Linked DNA regions of Sus scrofa. The protein of the gene in region 1 interacts with the protein of each later gene in a pairwise test. Links are inferred from orthologs where the notes say so. Each region holds a gene or a part of one and is shown in the gene's direction. Other genes may lie near its edges.

The links.
Region 2: the proteins of HOMER3 (region 1) and WIPF1 interact in binary tests that used the Homo sapiens proteins (3 or more experiments, as listed by UniProt). The two-hybrid records come from large-scale screens. The link is inferred for Sus scrofa from reciprocal best matches to the Homo sapiens genes HOMER3 and WIPF1.
Region 3: the proteins of HOMER3 (region 1) and FRYL interact in binary tests that used the Homo sapiens proteins (3 or more experiments, as listed by UniProt). The two-hybrid records come from large-scale screens. The link is inferred for Sus scrofa from reciprocal best matches to the Homo sapiens genes HOMER3 and FRYL.
Region 4: the proteins of HOMER3 (region 1) and SNRPF interact in binary tests that used the Homo sapiens proteins (3 or more experiments, as listed by UniProt). The two-hybrid records come from large-scale screens. The link is inferred for Sus scrofa from reciprocal best matches to the Homo sapiens genes HOMER3 and SNRPF.
Region 5: the proteins of HOMER3 (region 1) and ABI gene family member 3 interact in binary tests that used the Homo sapiens proteins (3 or more experiments, as listed by UniProt). The two-hybrid records come from large-scale screens. The link is inferred for Sus scrofa from reciprocal best matches to the Homo sapiens genes HOMER3 and ABI3.
Region 6: the proteins of HOMER3 (region 1) and MOS interact in binary tests that used the Homo sapiens proteins (3 or more experiments, as listed by UniProt). The two-hybrid records come from large-scale screens. The link is inferred for Sus scrofa from reciprocal best matches to the Homo sapiens genes HOMER3 and MOS.
Region 7: the proteins of HOMER3 (region 1) and EAF1 interact in binary tests that used the Homo sapiens proteins (3 or more experiments, as listed by UniProt). The two-hybrid records come from large-scale screens. The link is inferred for Sus scrofa from reciprocal best matches to the Homo sapiens genes HOMER3 and EAF1.

The regions. Positions count from the first base shown.
Region 1 is NC_010444.4:58,912,537-58,916,748, forward strand, and holds the start of HOMER3 (homer protein homolog 3), read left to right. Parts: upstream 1-1,412; 5' UTR 1,413-1,620; intron 1,621-2,148; exon of another isoform or gene 2,149-2,285; intron 2,286-3,138; exon of another isoform or gene 3,139-3,182; 5' UTR 3,183-3,246; coding exon 3,247-3,260; intron 3,261-3,348; coding exon 3,349-3,505; exon of another isoform or gene 3,506-3,558; intron 3,559-3,764; coding exon 3,765-3,896; intron 3,897-4,212. UniProt on the Homo sapiens protein: Postsynaptic density scaffolding protein. Binds and cross-links cytoplasmic regions of GRM1, GRM5, ITPR1, DNM3, RYR1, RYR2, SHANK1 and SHANK3.
Region 2 is NC_010457.5:80,643,663-80,647,610, reverse strand, and holds the start of WIPF1 (WAS/WASL-interacting protein family member 1), read left to right. Parts: upstream 1-1,148; 5' UTR 1,149-1,301; intron 1,302-3,948. UniProt on the Homo sapiens protein: Plays a role in the reorganization of the actin cytoskeleton. Contributes with NCK1 and GRB2 in the recruitment and activation of WASL.
Region 3 is NC_010450.4:38,397,599-38,401,098, reverse strand, and holds part of FRYL (protein furry homolog-like), read left to right. Parts: intron 1-710; coding exon 711-728; intron 729-1,528; coding exon 1,529-1,639; intron 1,640-2,633; coding exon 2,634-2,824; intron 2,825-3,153; coding exon 3,154-3,412; 3' UTR 3,413-3,500. UniProt on the Homo sapiens protein: Plays a key role in maintaining the integrity of polarized cell extensions during morphogenesis, regulates the actin cytoskeleton and plays a key role in patterning sensory neuron dendritic fields by promoting avoidance between homologous dendrites as well as by limiting dendritic branching.
Region 4 is NC_010447.5:87,614,434-87,617,148, reverse strand, and holds the end of SNRPF (small nuclear ribonucleoprotein F), read left to right. Parts: intron 1-1,191; coding exon 1,192-1,256; intron 1,257-1,862; coding exon 1,863-1,929; 3' UTR 1,930-2,215; downstream 2,216-2,715. UniProt on the Homo sapiens protein: Plays a role in pre-mRNA splicing as a core component of the spliceosomal U1, U2, U4 and U5 small nuclear ribonucleoproteins (snRNPs), the building blocks of the spliceosome.
Region 5 is NC_010454.4:25,438,963-25,441,809, forward strand, and holds the end of ABI gene family member 3, read left to right. Parts: intron 1-152; coding exon 153-238; intron 239-429; coding exon 430-525; intron 526-707; coding exon 708-835; intron 836-1,421; coding exon 1,422-1,559; intron 1,560-1,880; coding exon 1,881-2,044; 3' UTR 2,045-2,347; downstream 2,348-2,847. UniProt on the Homo sapiens protein: May inhibit tumor metastasis. In vitro, reduces cell motility.
Region 6 is NC_010446.5:75,738,207-75,741,576, forward strand, and holds MOS (proto-oncogene serine/threonine-protein kinase mos), read left to right. Parts: upstream 1-1,195; 5' UTR 1,196-1,368; coding exon 1,369-2,406; 3' UTR 2,407-2,870; downstream 2,871-3,370.
Region 7 is NC_010455.5:2,661,329-2,664,828, forward strand, and holds part of EAF1 (ELL-associated factor 1), read left to right. Parts: coding exon 1-94; intron 95-3,342; coding exon 3,343-3,500. UniProt on the Homo sapiens protein: Acts as a transcriptional transactivator of ELL and ELL2 elongation activities.

The DNA.
Region 1 (4,212 bases):
CAATCCCAGGCATTGCTCAGTGGGTTAAGGATCCCTCGTTGCCACAAGCTGCGACATAGATCACAGATGTGGCTCTGATCTGGTGTTGACTATGGTTCTGATTGGACCCCTAGCCTGGGAACTTTCATATTCCTTAGGTTCAGCCCTAAAAAGACAGGGGAAAAAAAAATGGCAAACACTTCTGAGGTTTGAGAAAGCTCACAAGTGAGTCTCCAAGCTTCAGGGAAGTGCAGGTTCTGAGGAGCCTCAGTGCTCTGTCCAAGAACTCGGTGGCACTGTGTGACTTTGGAGGGAGGAGTCTCCAGGGAAAGGGCAGATAATAGGATTGACAAGGGGGCCCCACAGGCAGGCTCGGATCAGGGGAGACTGAACTCAGTTCCAGAAGGACCCTCTCCCAGCAAGCGTATGAAGGGGTGGCTTCCCTCTGACCAGAGGTGGCAAATGCAGGCCTGTGGGCCTCCAGGCAATTTTCTCATTTGGTGGGACCTGGACAATGATGTTCCTTCCACCTCAGTCTTTGGACCCTATAACACAGCAACAATAATCCTAACCCAACCTCACTAGCATTTCTTTTTCTTTCTTTTCTTCTTCTTTTTTTTTTTTTAGGGCCACACCTGACCCACAGCACATGGAGGTTCCCAGGCTCGGGGTTGAATCAGAGCTGCAGCTGCAGGCCTTCACCACAGCCACAGCAACCTGAGATCTAGGCCCATCTGAGACTTACACCACAGCTCACAGAAACACCAGATCTTTTTACCCACTGAGCGAGGCCAGGGATGGAACCCACATCCTCCTGGGTACTAGTTGGGTTTGTTTGGGGTGAGCCACAACAGGAACTCCCCTCACTAGCATTGTTACAGTTGTTTGGGGGGATCAGGGTGGGATGGGAAAGCAGGCAGGGATTCTGAGCAGGGCATCCTGTATCAAGCCCCTTAAGTGCCTACTGTTTGCCTCTCTCTCACCTTCTTCTAGGCCCCTCTCCGCCCAAGTCTCTTTGGTTTTCTAGAAACACGCACTGAGCTCCTACCGTGTGCAGACGCCTGGACCCACAAGGCGTCAGATGTGCGCTGCCTCTGGATTCCCATCAGGTGAAGAGGGACTTGACCCCCCATCACAGGCAAAAGCAGCAGTGATGGGGAGGGTCCGGCTCACTCTTGAACAAAGGATGAGGCCACATTCTATTCTGTCCACCTAGGCCTGTCTCTGACTCCCTCCTCCATCTCTCTGTCTCTGGGTCTGGGTCTCTGTCTCCACTGCATCCCCTGTCCCCTTCTGTACCCATCTTAATATCCCGTCCACAATCCTCCCCACTTCCTCCCTGCTCCCACCCCTCCCTCTCCCCCTCGCCGCGGAGGGCCGGCAGGGGGCGCTGCGGGACGGCCTCGGCCGCCCGGGGAGGCGGGGCGGGCGGCGGCCGCGTCGGGACCGGCCGCGATGGGACCGGAGGCGGCGCGGGCGGCGGCGGCGGCGCAGACAAAGGCGCGGGCGGTGCGGCGGGCGGCGAGGAGGGCGCGGGCCCCGGAGCCAGCGAGCGAGCGGGGCGCCCGGCTTCGGGGAGTCGGCGCCGTGGGGCCGCACCCGTCTCGCGCCCGGACATTTGCGGGGCGCCGAGCCGTCAGGGTGAGCCTGGATAGCTGAGCCTGCACTGGGTGCAGGGGGTTGGGGGCGCGAAGTTCTGGGACTGGGGACAGGGCTCGGGGGTCCTCGAAGTTCCGAATACGGAGGCTGGGGGCGGATCAGGGAGCCCCGAAGTTCCAGGGCTTGAGAGGGCACAGGAACCCCGAAGTTCCGGAGTCGGGGTCGAGGAGGGCACAGTACGCCGGGTTCCCCAAATTCCGGACCTAAGGTGGAGGGGAGGCGCGAGGGGACGCCGAAATTCCAGACCTGGGGATGGAAGGGTGGCAGGGGTCCCCGAAGTTCAAGAGCCAGGGACAGCGGGGAGGATCCCCTAAGTTCTGGACCTGTAGTTGCAGGAGGTAGATAACACGTCCCCGAAGTTCTGGATCCGGAGTCAGGGGGAGGGGGGGAGGCGTAGCAGGGATCTTGGAAATACCAAGGTCCGGGATGGCACTTCCTGCATTTGGGGCGCACATGGGGCACCCCGCTTCTGACGGGTGGGGATTCGATTCTGAGCGAGTATCTCCTCAGATCCCCTGGGCTGGGGTTCCTGGGGTGGGGCTTCGCCCCCTCACGCGATTGTGGATCCAGTACACCGGGCGGGGTCAGGCCCCCCTTTGGGAGCCCCGCTGCCGGCAGCAGCGGCGTCCGAGGCGCATGACTAGTTGGTGAGTAACTTTCCCCAACGCCTAGAATCGCTGCAGGAGCATCCGGGCAGGGAGGCCCGAGTTTCTGGGACCCCCTGCGCCCGGAACCCTGGCTCAACCCGGGACCTAGCCCCAACCCTGGCCAAAGTCGCTGCCCCTCCCCCACCCAGGGGCTCCGGTTTCAGACCCTGTGACCGGGACAGCAGCTGCCCAGGACAGAGGAGGGGGGCATTCCCCCTCTGACCATGGAGGCTGCTGGGTCGGGGCCTCTCTTCCCTTAGTTTGCCTCCCCCTTCCCCCAGGTCCTCCCCTAGGACTCCCCCCCCAACCCCAGGGTGTTCAGATTAAGTGGTGAGAGGTGATGCGGACTGAGTGGTGATTGGAGGCCACCACCTTGAACCTGTTTAGCCACATCTTGTTTTTTTAACTAGGCTGAGGGCTCCCTGGGGGCTTTGACTCTGAGGTGTGCCTCTGCCCTAAGGTGGAAGCTGAGGGGTCTCTTTGTGGGTCCAGAAGGGGACTGGTTTACCAGTAGGCACCTGCCAATGCCCCACTTTTTGATGGAGGCTCTGCTTTGGGAGTGATGGATGAATGTGTCAGGAAGTACTACACAGGAGTTGGCCTTGGCCTCCTCAGCCCAACCCAGAGATTAAGAAGACTTCACTGGGGGTCTAATAACCAAGAAGATGAGAGGTTTATGCTGGTAGGAGCCACTTGGCTCCTATCAGAGGTAGTCTCCTGCCCAGGGTGTTGCAAGGGCTTCTTCTAGATGGGGAGAGTTGGGGTCTTTTTGCTGAGAACTTTGAGCTTGAAGCTCTGTGAATAGTGAACCTGGTGGTGGGTCCTGATGTTGGACATGCTTGGCCTCCCTCAGCCTGGCCTGGGGGACACTCACAGGCCCCCCTTCTCCCCGCAAAGGCCAAACCAGCAGCTCCTACCATTCTTCTGGCTGCCCCTTGGAGCCCACAGACCAGCCTGACCAATGTCCACAGCCAGGTGAGCCTCTGCCTCTACCAGCTTGACCCTTAGTCTTCTGAGATGGGGGGCATTGCCTGGCCTCCACTGAGCACCCTCTCCCCACCAGGGAGCAGCCCATCTTCAGCACTCGGGCGCATGTGTTCCAGATCGACCCGGCCACTAAGCGGAACTGGATCCCTGCGGGCAAACATGCACTCACTGTCTCCTACTTCTACGATGCCACCCGCAATGTCTACCGAATCATCAGCCTTGGGGGTGCCAAGGTCCTGGTGGGGCCTGGGTGGGGTGCCAGGTGCCAAGGATCCCAGTGACAGGGGTGGGTTCAGTTGCTGCTTTGCTGTGTGCTTTGGGAGCACGGGGTGGTGGGGGGGTGCCCTGAGTCTTTCTGGGCCTCAATCTTCCTCTTGAAATGGCCAAAGACCTCTGAGGTGCTAATACAAAGTGATACCCCCCGGGGAAGGGGTTCATGTTCATTATTACCAGTTCCCATCAACCATGAACTTTGCTTACCCTCCCCCCCAGGCCATCATCAATAGCACTGTCACCCCCAACATGACCTTTACCAAAACCTCCCAGAAGTTCGGGCAGTGGGCAGACAGTCGCGCCAACACTGTCTATGGCCTTGGCTTTGCTTCTGAACAGCATCTGACACAGGTGGGCCTGTGGGGGTACATGGTGGGAGGAACGGGGCTAGGGATGGGTCTTCTCTTGGGTGCTGGGGGACCCTGGACAGATGGCTGGGCCTCCATTTTTCCAGCTGCAGAATGGGCATACAGAATTGGACAAGCAGAAAGAAAACAGAATTAGACAAGCCAGTGGCCCCTTCCCACTTCCCTGGTTCACATCCCAGCTCTGTTGCCTGCCTGCTCTGATTTCAGAAGCACCTGCCCCTCCCTGGATGCCTGGGATGTGCTTCCTCCCCACACACGCTAGCACTACCTTCATTATCAACTTCCTCTACCCTCAGCTG
Region 2 (3,948 bases), on another chromosome or scaffold:
AGCTTACCCAAAGATGGGTTCATTCAGGGACAAAAGTTTGTCATTGAGAAGTTTACCCATGTTACTAAATCTCTTTCCCAGAAGAATTATTGTATCTGTTAAGAGCATGTCAAGGTGCAAAGGTGCACATGGGGACTGGCCTACAAGCAGACAGCCTAAAGTCAAGGATGAAGGGCCTCTTCAAGCTAGGACATCCATTCTGAAGTGCATGTATTCCCACCTGTCCTGCTTTTATTCGAGGGATATACAGCCTTGGTATTTTAACATGAATAAACATGAAAACCATTTTAATGGTTTAACATTTTAACCATGTAATATGATTACATGGTTATTATATCGATCACAATTTGTTGTTCTTTTCAAACACATAGATTCTAACATCTGTGTTGTCTTAGTGTGAGCTTGTGCTTGGATCCTGGAGGTGGCCGCTTTCAGAGCTGGTCAGTAACAGCTCCGGCAATGGCGTAGAACCTCAGGTTTCTCCAACTGTTTGCTGCTGGTGCTACCATATTTGAGGATGTGGGTGGCTGATTAGCTACATCCCTACTAGGAGTGGAACTACTCAGAGAATCCTGCTGGTTCTTGGTGGGGGGACTTGCCTTCTTTCCATAAGACGAGCACTGCTGTCCCCACACAGTGGGCAGAGAGAAAGATGCAGGTGGACCTTGGGTCTTTGTGGGTGCCACTCCATTTTAAAATTCATTTTTTTAAGATGAATTTCAATTTAAGGTGTTTCCAAGCCGGACTCTCTGAGGACAGAGAAGGCCGGGAAAAGTCTTTCCCTCTCTTGGGGTTGCGGGGGGTCGGGTACGGGGGTGGTGATGGCGGTGGTGAAGGGACCCCGACAGCGGGAAGCTGTGGAGTCTTCGGAGGAAAGGGCCCTGGAGCTGGACACCCCTTCCAGTTCCCACCTCTTTGCAAACCCAGGGGAGGGGAAGGAGCGACACAGGAGCCCCAGCTTCCAATCGCCCCATTGCTGCCACGCTCCGTCGAGGCCCTAGGCCGTGGGGCGCAGAGCCTCAGCTCCAGGCAGCGCGGGCGCGGCGCACAGAGAGGAGGCGAAGGGCCGGCAGCGGCCTCGCGGCGCGTCCACATGCGGCGGGGCCGCAGGGGGGGCGGGGGGGACGGGGAGCCGAGGGGGAGGGTTTACATCCCAGCGAAGTTCCCGGATGGTCGCAGCCTCCCGGCGCTGAGCGCTTTTCCTGCCCGGCCGGCTCAGCCCTACGAACCGGGGAGAAGTTTCCCTAAGAAAAATGCCCGGCGCGCCGCAGGGCCCTGGAGCTGCCCGGAGCCGTTGCACGGTAAGGGACGCGCCGCTGCCGCTGCCAAGGGCGCGACCGGGTTCCGGGGACTCAGGGCAGCGCCCGTGGAGACCCTCTAGGCCCCCAGGGACCCCGAGGAGGGCTGGGCTGGGCATCTCGGCTCGGCGCCGGGTGGGCGCGGGCGGGGGCCGCGGGGACGTCGGGGCTGCGTCCGCTGCGGGCGGGGGCGGGCGCGCGGTCTCGGGAGGGGCGGACTCGGGCCCCGCGGCTTGCGCGTCCAGTACCCGCGGGCAGAGAAGGAAGGGGCGGCGGACCGTGAGGGTCCGGACGCGGGCGCCTTCTGGGCTGGGCGCGCCGCTGGGCTCCGCAGATCTCCGGCCACCCGGGGGCTCGGCCCGGCTCCCGGCTTAGGTACCCACGGCAGGGGCTTCGCTGCGATGCGCTGGGGCCGCGTCTACCCCACCCATGACAGGCGAATGGAGACTTTAGGGCACCCCGAGGCCAGTTTCTGCCAGGGAGCTGCCTCTGCTTCTTCTCAGGGGAGTTGTGCCCATCCCGCAACGCGGCTTCCCAGACTCGCCTCCCGCCGGGTGCCCCAGGCTGAGCCTCGCGCTGCGGGCAGTGTAGACGCTTGCGTTAGATGTGTGCGGTGACCTTAAAGGACGTCCAGTCCCCGTCAGCTCTTTTCCCCCCAGGGCCTCTCCGGAACTTTCGGAACGGCTTCACTTCAGTCTCACTCCCTCTACTTTTTCTGTTAACATATTTTTTTTTTCTTCTTTTTTTAAAGTACTGTTAGAGAAAGTTGCAAGCGTAAGAGAAACCAGCTGACCCAATCCGGGCGACCCAAATCTTCAACTCGTGGTTAGACTTTGGACTCCTGGAGCTTAACAAAGGGTGTGTCTGTGAGGAACCGAGCCTGGCCAGGTCCTCTGGTCCTGCTTAATCCCAGAGGAATACATATTCCTTCCTGGGCCACGGGCTGCTGACTTTATCTCAGTTCTCTGGGAAGCCTCTCAAGTTGTCAGCAGTGACTGGGTGGACTTGGTCCCATTTTGTGAAAATTGTGTGACACCGTTGTCCCCTGAATAGTCACTGGATTCCACCCCCAATCACTGGCCGAGTGTAGTCCCAGACTTTAGGCGGTGCAGCCGCGGAGCCGCTGGACCGAATCCCACCCTGGGTGGGTTTTCTTTTGCCAGTTTCCCAAGGCAATTCCAAAACAATACTGTAGCTTCATTTTGAGTCGTTGGCATATTTTTCCTCCTCAGAAAAAGCCTTTTTCTGTTAACGGTTAAAATAACTCCAAAGAGTTTTCATTTTCAGTTTTTATGAAATACCCTTGGACTTCTGGAGGTGAGAAAATCAGCATAGGCCATTGGCATTTGCATCTTAATTCCTCTTTACAGTGCTCACAAGACTGCTTTCTCCTCTTGTGTATCTTGACTCATCTGTCATCTTCACAGGGCTGAGTCTCAGGGACCAAATCCCCAGCTACCTGTAGCAGCCCATTACCCGTTGAGTGGAATTGTGCAGACTGGACTTTGCAGTGGTTATTAGACTATTCTAGTAACCTCATCATCTTTTTTGGCTCCCTGAGCAGCACAAAAACTCTTAGGTTTTTGTGATGTAGAGCAAAAAGATTTGTAAGCAAGGTAAGATCAGATGTGGGTTCATTTAGAGACAGTGAGATTATTTCCAGCTGTAGAGATTCATGCCTTTCATTTGTTTGTTCATTTCACCAATTAAGTGTCACTTTCTGGTCCTTTAGGCATATCATGTGTATTGTGCAACTTGAGCCTCACTTATCCAAGAAATGGAGTTGATAACCTTTGCCCTTTCTCCATCTCATCCTGTGAGGATCAAGTGGGATAATGGTGTGTGAAGCAGCAAAAAGCAGCACAGCACAAGGCATTAGAGGGGCACCATGCAGTATGTAGCACCATGACATGAGAGCAATAAAGAGCTAAAGGAGGGGAGTTCCCGTCTCGGCTCTGCAGGAACAAATCCAACTAGTAACCACAAGGTTGCAGGTTCGAGCCCTGGCCTTGCTCAGTGGGTTAAGGATCCTGTGTTGCCGTGAGCTATGGTGTAGGTTGCAGATGGGGCTCTGATCTTGTGTGGCTGTGGCATAGGCCAGAGGCTACAGCTCTGATTCTACTCCTAGCCTGGGATATGCCGTGGGTGTGGCCGTAAAAAGCAAAAGCAAAAAAAAAAAAAAAAAAAAAAAAGAAGCTAAAGGAGTGGGACAGGGCTGGTGGAGAGAAAGTGGTATCCCTTTACCTGTTAAACTTACTGTCTCAGTTGCTTTGCTCAGGGATGAGCCTGCTTTTGAGGGGAGTATTCATCCCTGGCTCTATGTCACAGTCTTGGTTATTTCAGGGTGTTCTTAACTATGGATAGGACTTCTACAGTGCACATCAGGAGAACAGAAGGCAAAGTACCTTTTTGGTTGTTGCTGTAGCCCCTTCACTTTAAGCATCTGATATTTAGGACTCTGCCTCCCAGAGCCATCGTCTTCCTGAAGCCTGAGGTCTACCAAATTCCTAATGATTTTCATACAGAGGTCTCTGCCACTGTGACCAACATTCCACAGTGATGCCACAGTGATGCCACAGTGCTGGAAGGTTTGGTAGGCTTATGCCTTGTGAATAACCAGGACCCACATATGTGAATCAGGTCACAGTTG
Region 3 (3,500 bases), on another chromosome or scaffold:
GAAACCTGGATGTATCTCTGTATATTTTACATTATCTCCTTAGATTCAAACCCAGTTGGGCTGAATGTCTGAGGTTGAGCTAAATTACACTCGGAATGTAATTTAAAACACAACTGCTCTCAATAATTTCTGATTCAGCACTAATTATGGCAACGTAGGACTTAATTAGACAGTAAAATGGCAGGAGACCTAGAATGAGTCACACTAGAGATAATCCTCTCCTGGGCAAATTCTTATTATATAAAATTATAAGCCAATTCCTTCCTGCAGTTCATTTCATATTTTCTAATTAAAAGTTTTAGAAATTGACTACATTTACCCCCCCTCCTTTTTTTTTTCCTGGAAAGGCTATAAAAACCGAAATAGAAGACCACTTTCAATAGCCAACTTTCCAACAATCCCACTACTTTGATTTTATTCCTTGTAGCTTCTGCACACAAAAAAATAAAACCATTGCCTAAAATGTAATTCAGCTATTATTTGGCAAAGAGTTAAAAACACCCTGGATTGTTACAGTACATGTCTAAAACGTTTGAGTCCAGAAACAGCATCATCCATTTTTCTTGAGGGTGTAATTAAATGTTCTTCAAATTAAATGTGCTTCAGTTTGCCTGGGACATCTGTGACCCTAGTTAAAATGATTTCTTACACTAATTCTTGGTCTTTTTCTTCCTTTGTATTTTTTGTGACCTGATCACCTTCTTGCTTAGCAAATGGAAATTCTAGCAGTAAGTGACCTGTCTTAATTTATAGACTACTTATCCGTGTCAGACAAACTGGTTTTCATTTGCCATTTGTGACCTAGCAATGTTTTGTCATGGACTGCTTTAAAAGTAGCGTGTGCTTCAGTTTCGCATAGCCCTGATTCATGAAACGTTTCGGTCCTCCAAAGATAATGAGGTCTTACAATTAACACGTACAACTAGCAGTTCCCTTTTTGCACATCTCTAACTCATCTCCTTTCAGATTTCTTAATTTCAAAAATCCAAGTGCGTGTGTTAATTTCATTATCTTGCTCCAATGAGATTACAAAGTGGCTTTTTGAGCAAAAGGAATTCATTTTAAAGACAAAAGTGCTCTTCCTTTTTAGGCGAGAGGTTATCTAGCGTTTTACTTTTTGCATTATCAAGCAATTGTTGATAAATGCAGCTGAGGTGTACATCTCAGTGTGGCAAGAGTGTATGCATTTGTAAATTCTTTCCATTATGAATTTAAAGTTTTAAGTTCTCGTGACTCCTTTTTGAAGCATTCTGTTTACTGCCTGCTGAAAAATTCTCTAATATGAAAATGTGCTTCACACTAAAAATGATTTTAATAATCTTTAAATGTTTATTTTAATCCCAGTCTTCAGAGCACCTTTTCACCTGACTTTCATCAACTTCACACCATATTAACTTGCTTACTGCAGAACCAATGCCAGGACAAAATTTAACATAATTATTTACTTGTAAATTCTTATTGGAAATATGTTGTCTAGTCATGTATGGAAAATAACACCTACATTTAACTCAACGTTATTTATTTCTAGGAACTGGAGCTCTGCCGAAGGTTATACAAATTGCATTTTCAATTGCTGCTTCTGTTTCAAGCCTACTGTAAACTTATCAACCAAGTAAACACAATAAAAAACGAAGCAGAGGTAAATATTCGGTTGCACCAGGTACTACTAGCTGAGTCTAGAAAATTAAAATATATACATACTTATTTCTTTGTAGGAGTGCTTGGATCAAAAGTCGTTTATGGTGAATCTTTTTTTTTTTTTCTTCTTCCACTTAACCCTCATTGGTTTTTGAAATGGTGTGCCATTTCAGGACCTTGTAGTAAATCTGATAGCAGATATCCAGCAGTCTTAAAAGGTTCAAGCCCTTAAAGGTCACAGCAGCAGCGATAGATCATCTGTAATCAAAAATCGAGTAAAGCACAACCCTTCAATAAAGACGAAATTGTATTATGAAACCCCTTTAGAGGGCCACATAGTATTTCTATAGTTCTAGTAACACAAGAATAAACAGGTCAAGAACCCTTCAAGTGTTAGAAATCATGTTACAAGTAGGGACTTTAGTCTTTTTCCCACTTGTCAACCACTGGTACCATCACTGAGTTGATCATTTTCTAAAATGGCTAAATTTACTTAAAAAAAAATACATATACTGGTTTATATAAAATACCCTGGGTAAATAATCTTTTATAATACAAAGACTTCTCTTACTGTCAAAAATTTTTTTCATGATCCTTCCACAATTCTAAGCCTACTGTTACAAAAAAAAAAAGGAAATTATTTTTTACTATCCAAGATGAAGTGCATGTGTGTATATATATATATATCACATATTAACACCAATATAAACATTGGTTGAGACCTGTTTTACCTATTACCATTAACATTCATTATATTTAAGACAATCTGTTGTTTTATCACACGTATTTAAAGACGACTATCTAGTGGCTGAAATTATTCCAACTGAATAGAGAACTTGAAATATTAACTGCCCATAAAGACTGTGTTTAACAACTAAAAATCATTTTTAAATGAAACTACCACCACCATCAGCTGTAGCCTCACAGCCGCGTCCATGCTCTTTTTGTCTCTGAATGTACACATCGATCTTTTCAGGTCTATTTCTGTGTTTTAGGTCTTCAACATGTCAGAGGAACTTGCCCAACTGGAAAGTATCCTCAAGGAAGCCGAGTCTGCCTCCGAAAATGAAGAAATTGACATTTCCAAAGCTGCACAAACTACTATAGAAACTGCCATTCATTCTTTAATTGAAACTTTGAAAAATAAGGAATTTGTATCAGCTGTGGCACAAGTCAAAGCTTTCAGGTAAAACGTGAAGGCATTTATAGGAGATGTCTTTATGCTGAATGGGGAGTTTACAATGAATGGATTTGGGTTTTCAATTTGATGTTCCAATAGTCTGTGGAAGGAAAACATGACTTTATTTTGTACAGTTATCAATGAAGTAACACCAATTTTAGAGTTTGTTCACACTCGGTGATACCTTCAATAATATTTGCCCAAATGTTAAAACAGATCCTCAGTGATTGATAAGGAAATTTTGTTGTTTTTATACGTATTCACGTAAAGGTAGTTAATCTTCAGTAGTAATTGCTTTGCATCTCAGGACTTAAAAAACACTGTGTATTTTTCAGATCTCTCTGGCCCAATGACATCTTTGGCAGTTGTGAAGATGACCCTGTCCAGACACTGTTACACATCTATTTTCATCACCAGACGCTGGGCCAGACAGGCAGCTTTGCGGTCATAGGCTCTGACCTGGACATGTCAGAAGCCAACTACAAATTGATGGAACTCAATCTAGAAATCAGAGAGTCTCTCCGCATGGTGCAATCATACCAACTCCTAGCACAGGGCAAACCAATCGGAAGTTTGGTGAGCACTGGATTCTGAGAAATTTCAGGAATTTAGGGAAGACTAAACCGAAAATGATTAAGAATATTAAGAAGCACCTTTTATGGACCCTTGCAACTCACTGATG
Region 4 (2,715 bases), on another chromosome or scaffold:
GGTCGAATCGGAGCCACAGCCACCGGCCTACGCCAGAGCCACAGCAACGGGGGATCCGAGCCGCGTCTGCAACCTACACCACAGCTCACGGCAACGCCGGATCCTTAACCCACTGAGCAAGGGCAGGGATCGAACCCGCAACCTCATGGTTCCTAGTCGGATTCGTTAACCACTGCGCCACGACGGGAACTCCTGGAGCATTATCATATAATTTAGAAACCATTTAAATATTGGTGAATATCTGCCAGTAATAATCACTTTTTTAAAAGTTAGTTGATGTTAAAACATAATTTCTGAGAGCTATTACATACAAAACTAATTAATTGTTGACAGCAATTTCAGACAAAACCATTCCTCTGAGTGTAAAAGGTTACTTTTTATAGAAGGAATAATATCCAGTAGCGTTATTAATTCATGTTTTAAATGCCTTATCTTACATCCTCTCTAAGCCCTATTTTTCTTTCCCTTTGCCCACTTGCCTAGTCAATGAAGGAAACTTCTGTCTTTCATTTCTCTCCTGTTCATTTTTTTTGTGAGTCCCAGTAGCACTGAATGTAATTTTTTTAAATTACAAGTTTAAATTCCTTTACATGGAAGGAAAGCTAGACATTTTGATGTACAATTAGAAATAATAGAAATTAATGAAATAACTATAAAGGTCACTCTTAATTTAACCTCCTCTTAAGAACTTTTTTTTTTCCTGTTTATTAGCACATAATTTAAAATTCTTATTCAGTTCTTTGGTTTGGTTGTTGACTAATATAAAAGTATTTGGTATTTTAGCCATAGATTTTGTGCCCATTGGGTTCCTCAAATGATATATATGCTCTTACTCTGAGAAAAGTTAATGTCTGGTTCTTTAGAACTGAATTATTCATGGCTTATAAATTGAAGGCTTCTTCCTTGACACATTTTAATGTTTAATAGAAAGAAATAGTACGTAACTGAGAGATTTTAAAAATTGTGTTGAAATGAACTTTATTATATTAGTTGTACACCCATCAGTGTTAACATTACTGAATGTTTATCTGAAACCAAAAAGTACTGCAGTAGTAGAAGGCTAATCTTCTAATTGTTATAGATAAATGTGAGTTGTTGGTACCAAAAGATCTTAGTTAGTAAGGTCTCTCACCGATACTAGGTGTTTTCCTCCTGTATAATTATACTAATATATTTTCTTTTTATTCAAAGCTTGCAAACACAGAAGAATACATAGATGGAGCATTGTCTGGACATCTGGGTGAAGTTTTAATAAGGTAAGAAAACAGTAGTCGTATATATAAGGAGTTACTGGTGACCATTAGAAATACCTGCTCAAGTAAATTAATTAGTGCCCAAGTCTCAATTACTTTTAAAAAAATCATTATTAAATCAACATAATATTCTACAACCAGACTTCAAGGGTCTTGAAATTGTTAAACTTGCCAAAGCAGACTGACATATTTTGGAGCTGTTCACTCTTAAGATTTTTCTAGTGTGATACTAAACTTTCTAGCTCTTAACTGTACCTTTTTGAGTGGTTTCAGTAGTTGAAACTTGGTTTTGAATTTTAGATGAATCTGGCTGCTGTTAGAGATATGTATTATACTTATTTTCTAGAACTAGTTTCATACCTCCAAATTCTAGTCATTATTCCCTTGGGAAGATTGTAAAGATACCATTTTATAACAGCCTCATGGTAAAAATATATATGCTTTTTTAAAAAAAAAAAACAAATCAAATGTAAATATTTTAAAAAGAGATGATATATTGTAATTTTAGCATTTGCATTTTTGTAATAAAAAAACAGAATAATAGTTATAATTCAGATCTTATGTGGTTTCTGGTTGGAACAACAAAATGGACTGTTTTTCTGTTTACAGGTGTAATAATGTCCTTTATATCAGGGGTGTTGAAGAAGAAGAAGAAGATGGGGAAATGAGAGAATAGCATCTTTTGGGGGAGATTTTTTTTTATATATATTTGTAGACAATAAAGATGTGTTTGTTTTTCAATTTGATTCTGAGCTATTCATATTCAGATATTTACATGCAGAGCTCAACTGTTGCAACAGATGAAAGAGTGTTCACAGAACTACTGCTGTAAAAGCCACCCAGCTTTATTCAAGCTGATTTTCATGTAAGCCCAAAGCGTTAGGGAAACTTATGCATTATAACTGTCTATGGAGGTGAATGTCAGCCCTTTTCTTGTGATTATATATTAACTGAGACCTTTTAAAAGCAACTGTGTCTTCTAAAGTTATTTTTGAGCCACTTTTGACATATATAAATTTAAATATTTTCTTAGAATTAATATAACCTATTATTTAGTAGTCAGTAAATTACATGTTAATTCTCTATCACTTAAGCTAAGTGATGTACATATTACAGCTAAAATTGAAACATTCCCTGAAAATTAAAACGATTGACTATATAACACAAAAGAAATTGTGAACTGATATTTAGTCTGAAGGCATATAGTTCACATGAGAGAACCAGATTTTCTCGACAGAACTCCTTCATGTGAATTAAAAATCAGTCCTGTAGTTGTGTTCAGAGAACATCAGCTACTGGTTTTCCTGCAGGTGTTAAACTCGTCAAAACCAGTGTTTCAGAGTTGTGCATTGTGAAAATGTATACTCCACAGTGATAAAATCTACTCTGTGAACTTTTCTTGGACTGGTTGGAAAAAAATAGATTATTTAAACTCGCATGTCAGAGAATGCCATTATTACAC
Region 5 (2,847 bases), on another chromosome or scaffold:
GTGGAAGCGGGAACTTGCCGGTGGCCACGCTCTCTCTCCCGGCCCTCGCCCGCCCCTCCCCCATTTCCTCTCCGGGAGGAGGGGCCACGGCGGCGTGGGGGCGGGGCAACGAGTCAGCCCCGCCCCCTGCTTCCCCTCCCCTCCACCCGCAGGATTCGAGCACGCAGCTGTCTCGGACCGGGACCCTGTCTCGAAAGAGCATCAAGGCGCCTGCCGCACCCGCCTCCGCCACCCTCGGGTGAGGCCTCGCCGCGATCCTAACCTGCCCCGCCCAAGTCCACAAACTCGACTCCCCTACCCTCGCTTCAAGCCGGGCGCCAAACTTCCTCCTGCCAGCTGCCAGCTGCCAGCTACCACCTCCTCCCCGTCCCGACCCCCTGCCTGCCAGCAGCCTTCCCTCTTGCTGACACCCTTCCCCTCCACCCCTAGGAGAGCGCCCCGGATCCCCGAGCCGGTGCAGCCCCCCGTGGTGCCCAACGGCAAGCTCTCCGCCGCCTCCTCTGCCTCCTCCCTGGCCTCGGCCGGGTGAGCCCACGGGCCCAAAAAATAGGATGGCTGGGGCGGGGGGGGGGCGGGGCGGGGCGGTGAGAGGCCACAGGAGAACAAGGGCGGGGCTTACAACTAAAGGGGCGGGGCCAGTTGATGCCGAGTTAGGGAGGGCGTCCCCCAGTCAAGCCTAAGCCCCCCCCCCTTTCTCTGGTCTTCAGCAGCGCTGAAGGGGTCGGTGGTGTCTCCGCGGTCAAGGGGCAAGCAGCACCTCCGCCCCCTCCACCTGCTGCCTCCGACGTCTTCCTGCTGCCCCCTCCACTGGAGGAACTGTCCCTGCCCCCGCCGGGTAAGGAGCTCCGCCCTCCCCTCCTAGCTCAACTTTGGGGTCGTTGCCTCACCCCAACACTTCTCCCCACCCCTTGGATCCAATTGGGCCTCTCCGTGGATGCTTTGCAACAGGCGTAAGGGGAAGGGGAAGCGAACGTAGTTGAGCGCACCTGCTTTATACCAGGCCCCCGGGGGCGAAGCGTCTCACCCACCTTCCCACTTAAACTTAACCCTAAGAGAATCTCCACACTCCCATTTAAGAGAAGCTGAGCTTGAGAGTTAAATTGACTTGCCCCAGGCTCACCAAGCTAAGTGGCAGAGTCTGCTCACCCTACAAGATTCGATTCACCGTCACTCAGTGTTTACTAAGCACCTCCTGCCTGCTAGGCATTGTGGGAGGAGCAGGATGAACGAGGGTAAGAGGCAGATTACCTAAAACGAGTAGATCCTTGGAGTTCTTTGTGGCACAGTGGAGCTTCCATATGCCACAGGCTTGGCCAAAAAATAACATGGATAAACCCTGGAGCCCTGCTCTTTGAACAGTGACGTTCAAAGAGTGGCAGGTTCCCTGTCACATTGGCAGCCTTTCTGCTTTTCCCTCTCAGCCCCAGAGCTGCCCCTCCCCCTGGACCTGCCCCCTCCTCCACCCCTGGATGTAGACGACTTGGGGCTTCCACCTCCACCCCCACCAGGCTTTGGGCCAGAAGAGCCTAGCTGGATCCCTGATGCATACTTGGAGAAAGGTACTTGACTCTTGAGACGGGAAAGGGCACCAGATCCTGGGTTCAGGGCTCCCCCCACCCAACTCTTCCATCGCAGTGTCATCCTCCCCTCCCTTCTGCAAAGGTGGTCTGCACCCCACCCCCTGCAAAGGAAGCAGCTGGCCTCATTATTAGCTCAGCTGGGGAAGAATGGGGCGGGGGGGCCTTTGGAAAAGGCATCTCCTGCCCCACTCCCTGCAGCCTTCTCCCCTAGTTGCTCCCTAAAGTCTAGCATGCAGGGCGCCAGCATCCCCATGGTTGCAGGAAGCACATCTCATGGCACCCTCCCCTCCCGCCCTGCAGTGGTAACGCTGTACCCATACACCGGCCAGAAGGACAACGAACTCTCCTTCTCTGAGGGCACCGTTATCTGCATCACCCGCCGCTACTCTGATGGCTGGTGTGAGGGCGTCAGCTCCGAGGGTTCCGGATTCTTCCCTGGGAACTATGTGGAGCCCAGCTGCTGACAGCCAGGGATCTCTGGGGTGCTGACCCAGGCACTGCCATGAGCCCCATGCCAGAGCCAGCTCTCGTGAAGCCTGGACTAGACCTGCACACCTCCTGGGGCCATGAGCTGTGACTGCCCCTTCCCCACCACCCCGCTGCAGTGGGAAGGCTCTGGGGAGAAGTACACAGAGCTCTACTGCAGACAGGAAAAGAACTGGAAGCCAAGGAGCTTGGTGATCTTATCCACGGAGGATGCTTAATGCCGTGCAGGACAGGGTCTCCAGTTGCAAGTGCCAACTTTGAATAAAACGCGTGATGAGCTCCTGGTGATTGCCCTGAAGGGCTGGGGGGACAGAGGGAAGAGGGGTTGAATGGCTCTCCAGTTCTAAGACCTCCACTAATTGCTGAGCTCCTCTGCCTGCCCCAAGCAGTGGGTTATCTCCCCCACCCCCCCGGGGGGGTGTCTCAGTGAGCCCCCTACATTAGAGGCTCTGCCACGATGGGCTGCACTGTTCTTTTGCCTGCTGCTTGGGTTATGTGTTCAGTCTTGGCGGCGCGAGAGATCTCAGTCACCTCGGCCCCTTCACCACCTCCTTTATGGCTCTGAAACACAAGAGGGTAGAAGGGCTTGGGTTTCGCTGGCTCTGCTTTAAAACATCATGGCTTTCTGGTTCATACGGGAGGAGCGGGGCACAGAGGGCCCAGCCGGCCCGACTTTGGTTAAGTCCCTGGTCTCCTGCTGCATAGACGAGGCTGGGGTGTGGGAAGACACCGACGCGGTGCTGCGAGGTCCCCTGAGGGCTGGACCGGGGCCGGACGGTGT
Region 6 (3,370 bases), on another chromosome or scaffold:
CCTACATGCCCTAAGTGCAGTAAGTCATGATAGAACTTTCATCATTTGATGTTTCAAAATGTAGACACTACCATTCTCCAGTGTTGTTTTTCTTCATTTTTCTTTCTTTTTTTCTTGACTGCACTGGTGGCATGTGGAAGTTCCCAGGCCAGGGATCAAACCTGTGCCATAGCAGTGATCCAGCCACTGCAGTGACAGCACCAGATCCTTAACCTGCTGACCCACCTGGGAACACCTTTCCCGTGTTTTTTAATGAACAGAGTAATATTATCGGTCTTTTTCCAAAAGTATGGAATAAAAATTAGTTTTTTATTATAAAAATTAGAATGGAAGAACTAACGGTTGGACAGCAAGACCCTGGATTTAATTTCAACATCTGGTTTTCAACATTATAGGAAGGCAATAGTGGTTCTGTGCCATTTTTATTTCTTCAGATTTTTCCTCTCCTAGGATACTCTCATATTTGTTATTATTTGAAGCTCTGGTCATGGCTCTGAATCATTTTTGCTCTTTTTCCTCCCCTAACTCTGCTTCAAAACTTCTGTAACTCATTTGCTGTGAAGTCTAGAATCTCTTCTGCAAGGGAGCTTCCTGGGTGGGCCGGACTGCCATGGACCGGAAGGATTGCTAGGGAGTCTTTACATTGCTAAGAAGTCTTGCTAATTCGCTATATAAGCTGAGTGGACTGTCAGAGAATTTTCCTTTTCCCTGATGAATTTAAGAGGTTTGTATTTTGACCTGACTCAGTGATTCTGTTTGGGTCGATTACTTTGTTACTGTTTTTTTCTCCATATATGAACGTTGCACCTAATTTTCCCTGTAATCGGTTAAAAAAGCTCAGCTGTTGATGTTTCAACTCTTTCTGCCAATAACTGCTGGCAGTGATTTAATGCAGCTGGAGAATAAACTGACAATCATTATAGCCTGCAAAGTGTGGAATATTTTCATTGCACTGTTGTGGTGGACTGATAATGCTCGGCGGATGAGAATTGGGGGGGAAGCCTGTGTTACGATAAGAGAAGCAGCAGTGTAAAAGTGGGTGAGTTCTGGGGCAGCTTAGGGCCGCTTATCCAGTCAACGCTTCTCCGGGGCTTGTTTTCATAGGAGTTCACTTTAAGTGCTAAAGGGAAATGCTTTCATCTGAGCGGGATTTTTGTGCTTCGTTCAGATTGTTTCCCCATCTGATAACAACCCTCGCTGAGTAACAGCACAGATGTGGCTCATCTGCGGAAGATGGAGGCAGAGGAGAAAAGCGCTGGGCCGGGGCGCGGAGCGGCAGGTGGTCAGTGATGCTTGCACGCCCGCCCGCTGGGTCTTCTCTTCCCTCCTATCCCACCCAAGCCGCGGCGGGCTGCCCTCCGCAGGGCGATGCCCTCACCTTTCCCTCGGCGCCGGTGCCTGCCTGGCGACTTCTCCCCGTCGGTGGACTCGCGGCCCTGCAGCAGCCCCTGCGAGCTCCCGGGGCCGACAGGGAAGCTCTTCCTGGGGGGCACCCCACCCCGGGCCCTGCGCCTTCCTCGCCGGCTGGCCTGGTGCTCAATAGACTGGGAACAGGTGTGCCTGCTGCAGCGGCTGGGAGCCGGGGGCTTCGGCTCGGTATACAAGGCCACCTACCACGGCGTGCCTGTGGCCATCAAACAGGTGAGCAGATGCACCAAGAACCGGCTGGCATCCCAGCGCAGTTTCTGGGCCGAGCTCAACATCGCTCGGCTCCGCCACGCCAATATCGTGCGCGTGGTGGCCGCCAGCACGCGCACACCCGCGGCCTTTGACAGCCTGGGCAGCATCATCATGGAGTTCGGCGGCAACGTCACCTTACACCAGGTCATCTACGGCGCTACGGGCTGTCCAGAGGAGGATGGGCCTCCCTGCAGTGCTGGGGAGCAACTGAACTTGGAGAAGTGTCTCAAGTATTCCCTGGATGTGGTCAGTGGCCTGCTTTTCCTGCACTCCCAAGGCATTGTGCACTTGGACCTGAAGCCAGCGAACATTCTGATCAGTGAGCAGGACGTCTGCAAAATCAGCGACTTTGGTTGCTCCGAGAGGCTGGAAGATCTGCGCTTCCGGCCTCGGCACCACCTGGGCGGCACGTACACCCACCGAGCCCCCGAGCTCCTCAAAGGCGAGCCCGTCACCCCAAAAGCGGACATCTACTCCTTTGCCATCACCCTCTGGCAGATGACCACTAGGCAGGTGCCTTACTCAGGGGAGCGTCAGCACGTGCTCTACGCGGTGGTGGCCTACAATCTCCGTCCGTCCCTCTCGGCGGCGGTCTTCACCGAGTCCGTCCCTGGGAAGAAACTGGAGGACATCATCCAGTGCGGCTGGACGGCCCCTGCGCAGCAGCGGCCCAGCGCACAACTCCTCCTGCTGGACCTTCGCGCTCTACAAGCTGAACTGGGCTGACCCGAAACGTGTGGCCGGATAAGCATTTGTCTTTGTTGCTGTTCATTTTTAACAAGAGAAGATGTAGGCAAAAAAAAAAAAACAAAAACAAAAACAAAAAACATAGAGGTAGGATGGATTTTTAGAAAATAAAGTTACCAAAAACTCCTTTCACCCCAAATGCTTTTCCTAAGACAAACAGCAGAACTAGAAATCTAGTGGTGTCTCTCCTTCTCCCTTTACAGAGCTCTGTGTTTGCTTCAGAGCTACTGTGCTTCCTTGCAGTTCCATAGTACTGCACTTAACTCAAATTTGTTATTGGTCTGTTAACAGTTTACTTGCTCCCGTACAAATAAGCTAAAAAACAAAGATTAATTTTTCCCTCCTGCTCTTCCCCCAAAACTACTTGTTTCTAATGATCTTCACACATACAGTTCGCAAGTTGAGGTAAGCTTGTTTTTAAAAGGAATGATACTTTAAATGATTTCTTGTGATTGTGATATTTTAAAAACTTCTGCGTGCCATGAGTAGAAATTTTGCTAAAACTTCTAAACTGGGGCCCTTTTCCTGTTGTTTGGACTCAAAAGTAGACGACAAAACAAAGATGATGTGATGGGAGAAAATACGATAGCCCTGCAGCAGAGCAGAATTTAACATTTAGCTGGAGGAGAACAGAGAAGTGGAAGCAGATCGCCCAGTCTAGACATGGAGGGCATGGCTACGCATAGATTTTTGACAAATGAGGTGACTGGATCTTGTCATGAGGACAAAACTGACTTCTATTTAGCAACAGAGTTTCAGCAAGGGCTTGATGTAGAAGCTGTGCTTGGACTGTTAAGAAGGGAGAAGCAGAAAACTTTGAAGGGGGTTAAGATGCGCAGAAACGTTTTGAGATTTGTTGGTTTGGTTTAGCTTACTTTTAGGATAAAGGAAGTGAGTTTATCTGTGACAGAATAAAGAGGGGACAAAGAGAACTGATGAAGTT
Region 7 (3,500 bases), on another chromosome or scaffold:
TTCAGAGCTCCAACAAAGCCGCCAGCTGGACCCAAAACATCTCCTTTGAAGGACAACCCCTCACCTGAGCCTCAGCTGGATGACATCAAAAGAGGTAGAGAGCATTTTCTAGAGCCATGAAAGCAGCTTGCAGGAGGGTGTTGATGTTTCATGGCGATTATAAGGCTGCCAGTCGTGGTGACATGGGCATTCTCTGCCATTGTCACAGTTTCCACAGAGCTCAAAATTCTGCACTTTGAGCAAAGGGGCAGGGGCTTTACCACTTACCTCCTTTAAAACAGTGACTTGAGTTGTGGCTGTCTTTGCAGCTTTCTGTTTAGAGGCCTGGGGTTTAAACAAGCCTGACTACCATCTGAAAGTCCATATGGCGCACCTTTAAGCCTCTGGAAGAAGAAAAGTCCAAGGTGCTGGGGGTGACAACCAAGTGTGCCAGTGTCAGCATAGGGTCTAGGTTAAATCCTATGGCCGGCACTTTGTGCCAACACAAGGTGTGTAAGCATGAAAGCACCCTGTGGACCAGTGGGTCTGGACCCTGGCCTAGGAAGACTGAGAGGCCCTCCCCAGTGCAAGCCCAAGACATAGACACTCACATACCTTGGCTTTCTCCCTCATACAGTACATGGTTTTAATTGTCCAGACTCTTAGGAAATTAGGAGGGTAGGTGTCACATTACGTTTGTTTTATGAAACAAAATTAAACCCATAATAGTAGTAAACAGGAAAAGATAAAAAGTGGCCCTTGGGAAGTTTGCCTTTTCTACCTTGTGGAAATGCTCTCTTTTAGCAAACACTATCAGTGTGCGTGGTGCCAGTTGTTAGGCTCTTGATTTTTTTTTTTTTTAGGGTTGCACCTGCAGCACGTGGAGGTTCCCAGGCTAGAGGTTGAATCGGAGCCGCAGCTGCCGGCTTAAGCCACAGCCATAACAATGCAGGATCCAAGCTGCATCTGCAACCTACAATGGAACTCACAGCAATGCCAGATCCTTAACCCACTGAGCAACACCAAGGATTGAACCCTTGTCCTCACGGATGGTAGTTGGATTCGTTACTGCTGAGCCACAGCAGGAACTCCAAGCCCTGGATTTTTTTGTTCTTCATGGATATTGGAATGCTGGTGTGTAGAATTTTTCAGTTTAGTTGAACAGGAATTGGACCATGAGAGGTTAGTTGTCACCAGTTATGCTAAAGGAACCATTGTTGTTTGGCCACTGTTAGGTTTGAACCAGAAAATCTGGCATCTTCCATGATGTAGCCTATGGTGAATCCCTAATGTGCTTTCCAGCATTGAAATGTAAGGGAAAACATGTGTTTCCTTCCCTGCTTTACAGTCATAATAAGGCAGTGCTTGAAGGTGTGGCTGTCAGTTGAACATGTAGAGAGGATGGAGCAGGAATGTTCTCCTACTGTCTTTCTTCAGCTACCATGTCCCCTCCTGCAAGCCTCTGTGTACGTGTGGGATGTGAAAGCTAAGAAGGACCCCAGAGACTCTGGCCCTTCCTTTTTTTTTCTTTTTTTTAAAAATCTTTTTAGGGCTGCACGCACGGCATGTGGAAGTTCCCACCTAGGGGTCAAATTGGAGCTACAGCTGCCAGCCTACACCTCAGCCACAGCAATGTGGGATCTGAGCTGCATCTGTGACCTATACCACAGCTCACGGCAACGTTGGATCCCCAACCGACTGAGCGAGGCCAGGAATCAAGCCCACGTACTAGTGGGTTCGTTACAGCTGAGGCACTGCAGGAACTCCTGGCCCTTCCTTTTTCCAGAGCATTGGAAAATTCATTGCCTTCCACCTAGGTCTCCCTGCTGGTGAAGGTGGATCTTGATTTTTTTTTTTTTTAGGGTTGCACCTGCAGCACGTGGAGGTTCCCAGGCTAGAGGTTGAATCGGAGCCGCAGCTGCCGGCTTAAGCCACAGCCATAACAATGCAGGATCCAAGCTGCATCTGCAACCTACAATGGAACTCACAGCAATGCCAGATCCTTAACCCACTGAGCAACACCAAGGATTGAACCCTTGTCCTCACGGATGGTAGTTGGATTCGTTACTGCTGAGCCACAGCAGGAACTCCAAGCCCTGGATTTTTTTGTTCTTCATGGATATTGGAATGCTGGTGTGTAGAATTTTTCAGTTTAGTTGAACAGGAATTGGACCATGAGAGGTTAGTTGTCACCAGTTATGCTAAAGGAACCATTGTTGTTTGGCCACTGTTAGGTTTGAACCAGAAAATCTGGCATCTTCCATGATGTAGCCTATGGTGAATCCCTAATGTGCTTTCCAGCATTGAAATGTAAGGGAAAACATGTGTTTCCTTCCCTGCTTTACAGTCATAATAAGGCAGTGCTTGAAGGTGTGGCTGTCAGTTGAACATGTAGAGAGGATGGAGCAGGAATGTTCTCCTACTGTCTTTCTTCAGCTACCATGTCCCCTCCTGCAAGCCTCTGTGTACGTGTGGGATGTGAAAGCTAAGAAGGACCCCAGAGACTCTGGCCCTTCCTTTTTTTTTCTTTTTTTTAAAAATCTTTTTAGGGCTGCACGCACGGCATGTGGAAGTTCCCACCTAGGGGTCAAATTGGAGCTACAGCTGCCAGCCTACACCTCAGCCACAGCAATGTGGGATCTGAGCTGCATCTGTGACCTATACCACAGCTCACGGCAACGTTGGATCCCCAACCGACTGAGCGAGGCCAGGAATCAAGCCCACGTACTAGTGGGTTCGTTACAGCTGAGGCACTGCAGGAACTCCTGGCCCTTCCTTTTTCCAGAGCATTGGAAAATTCATTGCCTTCCACCTAGGTCTCCCTGCTGGTGAAGGTGGATACACAGCAAGGGCTCGGACCTTCCAGTTCCTGGCCAGGTATTTCTCATCCCCTGAGCATGGCATTGCTCTTCTCTTATTTGATGTTTAAATAAAGATTTAATTCACAATCTTTTTTTTTTTTTTTCAAAGTAGATAAAGGCAAAATAAACTTAATTCATTTTTAGAAGAATCATCCTGAAGCAATTTGACTTTTGGTTATTTGGATGAATTAAATGTTGCCATTGTCTCTCTGGAGACAGGTTAGATGTTTTTGTTTGTTGGTTTGGGTTTTGGTCGTTTTGTTTGTTTGTTTTTTGGCCACGCTCACGGCATGTGGAAATTTCTGGGCTAGGGATCGAACCCATGCCATAGCATTGACAATGCCGGATCCTTAACCTACTGCACCACCGGGGACTCCATTGTTTGTTTTCAAGGAATTGGGAAACAGTTCATTTTCAGTTATGCCACGTTGCTATGGGTTTGGCCAATTTACTGTTTATAGAAGGCTTGATGTGCTGACCCTTGTCCTGTCGTTTATTCCAGAGCTGAGGGCTGAGGTGGACATTATCGAGCAGATGAGCAGCAGCAGTGGGAGCAGCTCCTCGGACTCCGAGAGCTCGTCGGGAAGTGACGATGACAGCTCCAGCAGTGGCGGTGAGGACAACGGCCCCGCATCCCCTGCTTCACACCATCAGCCGTAC